Arabidopsis thaliana: one gene and its partner. The protein of the gene in region 2 interacts with the protein of the main gene of each other region in a pairwise test. Each region holds a gene or a part of one and is shown on either strand. Other genes may lie near its edges.

Region 1 (3,757 bases), on a different chromosome or scaffold from region 2:
ACACTTTGATACATAAATGTTACAACTTGTATTATATTGTTCCCTTGTTTTAAGGATGTCCTAGGTTAAAGAGGGAAGCTCGGAACCCTTGTTTCAACTACTCTCTCTATTTTAATTTAATGGTTTTCTTAACTACAACTTGATCCGCATTTGAAGCTTTCTTCACAATTACAAACCATAAATGAAAATAATTTAATTTTGGGTAGAAATATTTATTAACATTAAAAGTCTTTGGAAGAAAGGGAAAAACACATATTGCAATCATAAAGTGTAAGGAATACAGACCAAGGAACTAAAACCAAAACAAGAAACCTACCGTTATGGTATTAATGTACAAAACAAGACATTAAATTAAGCCATAACAAATTGAAACAGTAGTAGTCCATATGACATCACATGACCACACAAGCCGCCGGGTTCTCGTCGCTAAATGCAGTGGTGTAGCGGACCTCGGTGGAGCTAGCACGAGCCAGCTGCGACACTCCGGGGTCGTCGACTCTTCGGACATAACCGGAGGGTGCCTTCTTGTCGTAGACACCGGCAGCGTAAGGATGAGCGACCACGTCGTAGGGCACATATGGCCAGAGCTCGACTTTCTTGCCGGTCCTGTGAGACATTCGAGCCACCACCTTGTTGGGATCGACGTAGCCGACTACAGTGACTTTATGGGCTTTGGGCTCCAACGTCACAGAAGACACACCCTTCATGCCTTCGACAGAACGCCGCACTTTCCGCTCGCAACCTTCGCAGTCCATTTTCACTTTAATCTCCACCGTCTATCCTCATCAAGCAGTCGACACAAAACGACAAAATTAGCCTACTTTAAAAATATCTAAGAAGAATAGTAAATGTCCACAATTGAAAGACTTTAACCATATCATCATGACTAGTGAGAAAAATTAACGTGGTTGGTTTCCCCGGAAATTAATGATTTTATATAGTATTCCTGACAGCGAGAAGAATACAAATCCCGGTGTAAAATCTAACAGATGGCTGTATCAACTTATATTTCAGATTAAAAGAATCTATTCGGTCGGCGTTAGGAAGGAACATTAACTCAAAACAAAAACTGCTTCAAATAAAATCCCACTTATATCATGTAACAATTTGGATATACTTCTTCAGATAAAAAAACACAGAGATATTAAAAAAGATCTGAAGTAAGAAAGGTAACACAAATTAGCCAGCCAAAACCACAATAATAAACTTGCTAATGGCAGTCTATTTATGGAACTATAATATACGAGATCTACTAAGTAACACTCAAACTTTCCTAGTAACCATCGAAGCTAGTTTCTACTAGACTCATTCATCATAACTTTTCAACGAATTATTATGTTTGTTTTTTTGCAAACCAAGATCTAAGTTATCAGCTGAATCTGCTAAGATAAGAAAAGGAAGAGGGAAAGTACCTGCAACTGTTTGCGCTTTTTAATCTTGTGACCATGAGAGCAGTCAAACATTTCAGAGACATGATCAAGAACACCCATTTCTTCTTCTTTTTATTCCAGAAAAGGAAAAACCTGAAGAACCCAGGAGAGTTAAGAACTTTCTTTAGGAGGAGGAGGAGGAGAGAGTAGTAGAGCAGAGAGTGAAATCTGTAAAAAAGAGGGGCAAAAGGGAAAGTGGAGGTGTAAAGAAGTAAATGATGAATTGGGAGAATATATATAGGCATTATTGTAATAAGTAATACAGTATGTATCTAATTAAGTGAATGATGGATGGGTCACCTTTCTTTTCTGGTCCCAGCAGTTTCCTAGTCGCCGTCTCGATTCTTCTCTTCTTGCTAACGGTTTCCTAATTTCTAGTTTTTTTTTTTCGGTTTCTTTTTTGGATTGGCTTAAAACATTTCTTCATTCCAATTCCATGAATGAAAAAAAAAAGAGTTGTAATTTGTAAGAAAAAAATAAAATTACAATGGATAATAAAATTTTCTGTTTTGATGATGACTGAGACTGATCTTGGGACAAGAGTCGTGCGTTAGATTTTCTGCTGCTTTACTTTTTTTTTTGTTTAATAAATAATAATAAAAAAAATATATTCTTGGTGCATGGGAAGAAAGTAAAGAGAGGAGTTATTGTTTTTGGATAATCGATGATGACTCGCAAAGTCACACCGACGTACCGACCTTGATGACCAGATTTGTTTATTTTATGAAGCCCACTCCAAAATTTGGTCTAGGCTTTCTAATGGATTTTTCTGAGGCCCACTTACTTACCATTTTATATTTTTGGCGATTTTTTGACAAAAATCAACCGAGTTTTAATTCCATTTAGATTTGCAAGACTTGCAAGTAGAACCATCTGGATATCTGGACCCCCATGGGATTCAAGTTCATATATCCGAAAATCCCATCATCAATTATAGTCTTAAGCGATGAAGATACAAAGGTTTGTGGAAATTAGTAATGAGTGAGTAATGACTAATGACACAATCCGAATTCAGCAGTAAATAAAGTGTGCGTGGAAGAAGAAGAAAATTAACGATATATGCGTGTATGTATTGTTTGCAAATAAAATATGCAAATTTTCAGTGTTGAAGCGGCGAAACCGAGAAAAGTTTTACAAATAATTTAACAAATGTTAGTACTGTATTTCACAAATTGAATTTGAGAATATTAAACGAAAAAACGTTTTTGCTTGAGAGAGAGGCGAATCTGATTCTTGTGAGAGCTTCCAACAAAGTCTGCAGGCTCATCCTGCGGATCCCTTCGTTCCCAATTTCTCTTAGGCAGGTGAGAAATATTTAATTTCCCCATACTTACTTTGAGATTTGATATTTCCAGTTGCGTCTGAAAATCGATTGACCTACTTTGTTTGTGTGTGTGTGTTCACGTATTTACCGGATTTGGGGTTCCTCTGTCCGTACGCATTTTCCCACAAAGTTTGTTCCTTTTTTCTTTCTAATCTCGTGTAGGTATCCCTTCATTGGCGAGATCCTTGTTTTCTTCGTTGGGGAACAGATTGCCCAAACTGAAGTCTCTCTCTCTCTGTTATGGCTAAACAGAGACCGGCGACGTTGTCAGTCTACCTCTACATTCCCAATATCGTTGGTCGGTTTTTTGCTACTTCCTTTCTTCTGTCTTTAAAAATTTCATTTTTTTTAAACCATATGAGATTAGTGTTGTTACATGCAAAATTGGCAGGGTACATGAGAGTTCTCTTGAACTGCATTGCCTTCTCTGTGTGCTTCTCCAACAAGACACTCTTCTCCCTCTTGTACTTTTTCAGGTGACTTTATCCTTGTGGTACCAACATCATGTTCTTCTCCTTTTTTGATCTTGTGTGTTTGGTGCTTCTTCTTTCATATGTTAGTCACTCTTTACCCAATCTTGTTTCCAGTTTTTGTTGTGATGCTGTGGATGGATGGTGCGCTCGTAAATTTAACCAAGGTGCTCTTTTCATTCTCCCCATCTCTTTTCTTAGCTTCAACTAACTCATTACTTATGCTTCCTCTATGATCCTGACATTGATTAAATATGACATTTCATGTCATTGTCTCATTGATCAATATTTTTAGTCCCATACACAGTTTATTCTTGTTCTACATTATCAGAAACGATTGAACGTAACACACAACTCTTTTCCTTTCAGTCTCTACATTTGGAGCTGTTTTGGATATGGTTACAGATAGGTGAATCTTCCGCTACATATTCCCGAGTTTCAACTTGCTCATTCTTTTAATCTCATTTAACATTTTTGTCATATATTTTGGGGTCTGCGCATGGTTACAGAGTCAGCACAGCCTGTCTTCTCGT
Region 2 (3,757 bases):
AGGTGGATGGCTATGGCACGACCTATTCCTCGAGAAGATCCTGTGACTATAGCTACTCGACCGGCGAGGCAAAGCGGTGGAGAAGAAACTGATGACGCTGCAGCCATACTGTTAGGTAGATTTTACTATAAATTTACTTTTCTATATTTAGGGTAGAAATGATGACAACGTGCTAAAAGAGTGTAAGCAAGCAATTTGTAGTGGTGATGGTTAGATTTGTCTTATGCTGTCAAATTCGTAAGCAAATTGAATTGCTGAAAATGTTTTTAGATTTGTCTTAACCTGTCAATTCGTATGCATTTTGAATTGCTCAAAAGTTTAGATTGATAGGACGTGTTTTCGTTGTGTGATTGTCTTCTAGAATTCACACACTCACTTTCTCAAATCTTAACTTGTATTATATATAGCACGGTAACAACATTATACAACTAACCAATTTTATTAACTTTAAAATTATTTAGAACACACATGCATAGTTGCATACTATAAAACTTAAATCAAGATTATGTCAGCCATAGTTGCTTCATTTTAGTTGTTGATACTTTTACGATGTGATGCTAGAATTTTCTAGTATACTTTATATCTTTTTGTCTCCATCATTTTATTAGAGAAAACAATCGAAAGTGTTGAGACTAAAGATTGTTGTTGCATCGATGTGTTGTTAGACGTCAATCAATACAAGGTCCAGGAACTTACAAGAAACAACAATATGGATAGAAATATTCAGAGGAAAGTAAAAGATAAGATAGGATTTTTTAATGTTTTTTTTGGTTATTCTCCAATTATTTTATGAAATAAACTTGTGATTATAAACTAATGAAGAGAGCAAGAAAAAAAGTGATAAAAAAGCGAAAGTCACGTGTCAAGTGAACAATCTTATCTTACTAGATTTGTGACAATGCCAAACTGTCCTCCACAAATAGAGGCCCTTCTTTTCTTCGATACGTGGACCCCACTAAACCCATATTCCACCAATTATATTTTATTGTTCTCTTTTTATATCTATAAAAAAAAGTCACCGAGGAAGAGCTCGCCGGAGAAACTGAGCAAGCTGCGCCGGAGCACTAAGCTGCGGCAAATGTCCTTCAGTTTTAAGAGTCTCCACAGTAGTATCTCCACCGAGATGAGACCTAAGATACTCCGCCACCGAAGCCGGCACAGAAACATCCTTCGCCGTCTGAATCACACACGTCGGAACTCTAACTAACCCAAGCACACCTCTCAGATCGCTGTTGAAAACCGTCCTCGAAACAAACAGAGATATATCCGGACGCATATTAAACAAAGTCCGGCTAAATTCTCTAACCGCCGCCGGAACATCAGCTCCAACAGCAAGCGGAGCAAATCCATGAACCCAAGCTTCGTAATTAGCTTCCATAGCTGAGAAAACTTTCTCAATCTCACCTTCTTCGAATCCTCCATGATAATCCTCGTCGTTGAGAAACCTAGGCGAAAATCCGATCAAGATAAGCTTGGAGAAAAGCTCCGGCCGACGAATCGAAGCGATGATTCCGATCATAGCGGAAACAGAGTGACCAACGTAAGCACAGTTTTGGATTCCGAGTGAATCAACGATGTTGAGAAGATCATCGACGTAAGGATCGAGAGTTGTGTAACGATTGAAATCGAAGTAATCGGGGTTGACACTGCCGGCGCAAACTAGGTCATAGAGGACGACTCTGTAGTTTTGAGTGAAGTAAGGAAGGATCAAGTGCCAAGCTGATTGGTCAGTACCGAATCCATGGGCCAAAAACAGGATCCGATCACCCGTACCCACGACCCGGACATTTAGAGCTTCTAAGATGTTGTGTTGACTCATTTTTTTATGTGTTTGGGTTTGAGGGTAAAGAAGAGAGTTGGATACTGTTTATATAAAAACTTGTTTGGGTAGGTGTGTGTGTGTAATGAAAATTCCTTTATCATCTTTTTTTTTCCACTGCATTTATTATTATTATTATCCAATACTTTCGATTGGCTTTTGAAGTTTATGGATACAAGAGCATGCGTTGATTATTCGTCACACATCTGATATATTTTAAGAGATTTAAGATGCTTCAAGGATATTGTTTTTAGACTTTTAGGTGTTGTTGCACTTGCCATATTCTTAAACCATTTTTTTATTCTGTAGTTGTATTTCAACAAACGACGTTTATCCCAAAGATTATTCGAATGGTGGGTGATGATAAATTGAATTATATAAAACATAAAGTGGTTCCAATGAATGTGTCAGTACGAAGACACGAGTTTGTAAATTAAACATAAGGTTTTTAAGAAATTCAAAAGTTAGATGTCGACGACAACAACAAAAGGATGTCGACAAAAAAAGAAGAAGAAATTTGGATATATTTTTTTGGACATAGGTGAGTCACGAGTGTTTTATTAAGATGGTTAAGACATTTATTTTCAACCTCAGTGTTTATTATTATTATTATTCCAATTGAACCCAATGTTTTATTTCTAACAAGTTAACCCCTACATTTGCTTCTCAAGGTATCAGGAAGAGGCTCCTCTCAAGACGAACTCTTTTATACATATCCACCATTAACAGGAATGATTTGACCATTGACCCATTCACCACCGTCACCAGCCAAGAATCCAACAAGAGGCACCACGTCTTTGGCTTCGCCGACCCTCCCAAAGGGAGACTCTGCGGCTATCTTTTCCACCAACTCTGGGGTCTTTCCATCAAAGAACATCTCAGTGGCGATGGGTCCTGGAGCAACACAGTTTGCAGTGATTCCTGTTCCTTTGAGCTCTTTTGCAAGAATCTTGACCATAGTTTCCACAGCTGCCTTTGATGCGGCATAGGCACCAAACCCTGGCTTTAAAGATCGAGTCTGGGAAGATGTCAGAAGTATGATCCGACCACCACCTCCTTGTTTTAGCCTATTGGCAGCTTCCTTGCTACACAGGAACGCTCCTTTTGTGTTGACACTACACTCCATTTTAAAAGAAACAAACAGAGGATTATTGGAAACAAGAATGAAGGAACTTTAGTTGGAAATTAGACATACAAATCTCACGAACATGGAACATTGGATGAAACAAGAAACATAAGTCGATTAATTAGCCACAAGAACACGAGACATGTTGCATTTGACTCATAATTAGACATACAAATCTAAAGAACACGGAACATATAATTTCATGGTTCATGGAGAGTGAACAAGAACACAGATTCCACTAAAATCTCAGTTGAAATATACTAAAGGAATCAGCTTTCTAACTCAAAATCATAGAACATGTAACAATTGATCAAGAACTTATACATAATCATCAACCTAACTAATTAACAAAAAAAAGTTTACTTTTCCAGTATTGAGCGGGAAGACAAGAACCCAATCAATGAAGATAAATTCTCTAAAGGAATCAGCTTTCTATAACGAACCCAATCAACGAACAGTATCGAGTATATACCTGAACGTATGATCGAAATCTTCGACTGATGTGTCTGCGATCGTAGGGTACTTTGGATCGAGAATCCCAGCAGAGTTAACCAGAATGTGAACCGGCGCTTCAAAGGCACTCTCCGCCGCATCAAACATTGATTTAACCTGGCTTGGCTCAGAGACATTGGCCTGAACCACAATAGCTCTTGGTCCCTTTCCAGTGATTTCTTCCCTAACTGGAAAATCATTGATCTCCGACGCGACACGCTCGGCGTCTGCGGCTTTAGAGGTGTAGTTGATAACAATCCTCGCACCGAGTTCAGCTAAGTGGATCGCTATCGCTCGGCCAATACCACGGGAAGAGCCGG

The links. Proteins that work in one complex are often made in the same cells at the same time.
Region 1: the proteins of AT3G03990 (region 2) and FP6 interact in binary tests that used the Arabidopsis thaliana proteins (3 or more experiments, as listed by UniProt).

Annotation. Positions count from the first base shown.
Region 1 is NC_003075.7:18,032,329-18,036,085, reverse strand, and holds FP6 (farnesylated protein 6), read right to left. Parts: upstream 1,956-3,757; 5' UTR 1,731-1,955; intron 1,724-1,730; exon of another isoform or gene 1,599-1,723; 5' UTR 1,491-1,598; coding exon 1,413-1,490; intron 777-1,412; coding exon 393-776; 3' UTR 197-392; downstream 1-196. Other genes in the region: PIS2 (Putative CDP-diacylglycerol-inositol 3-phosphatidyltransferase 2), read left to right, coding at 2,995-3,052, 3,146-3,230, 3,342-3,391, 3,594-3,633, 3,734-3,757. UniProt on the Arabidopsis thaliana protein: Heavy-metal-binding protein. Binds lead, cadmium and copper. May be involved in heavy-metal transport. May be involved in cadmium transport and play a role in cadmium detoxification.
Region 2 is NC_003074.8:1,031,850-1,035,606, reverse strand, and holds AT3G03990 (alpha/beta-Hydrolases superfamily protein), read right to left. Parts: upstream 2,029-3,757; 5' UTR 1,820-2,028; coding exon 1,016-1,819; 3' UTR 370-1,015; downstream 1-369. Other genes in the region: AT3G04000 (NAD(P)-binding Rossmann-fold superfamily protein), read right to left, coding at 1-107; AT3G03980 (NAD(P)-binding Rossmann-fold superfamily protein), read right to left, coding at 2,526-2,934, 3,418-3,757. UniProt on the Arabidopsis thaliana protein: Involved in strigolactone signaling pathway. Does not move long distances acropetally in the plant to regulate shoot branching and is rapidly degraded in the presence of strigolactones.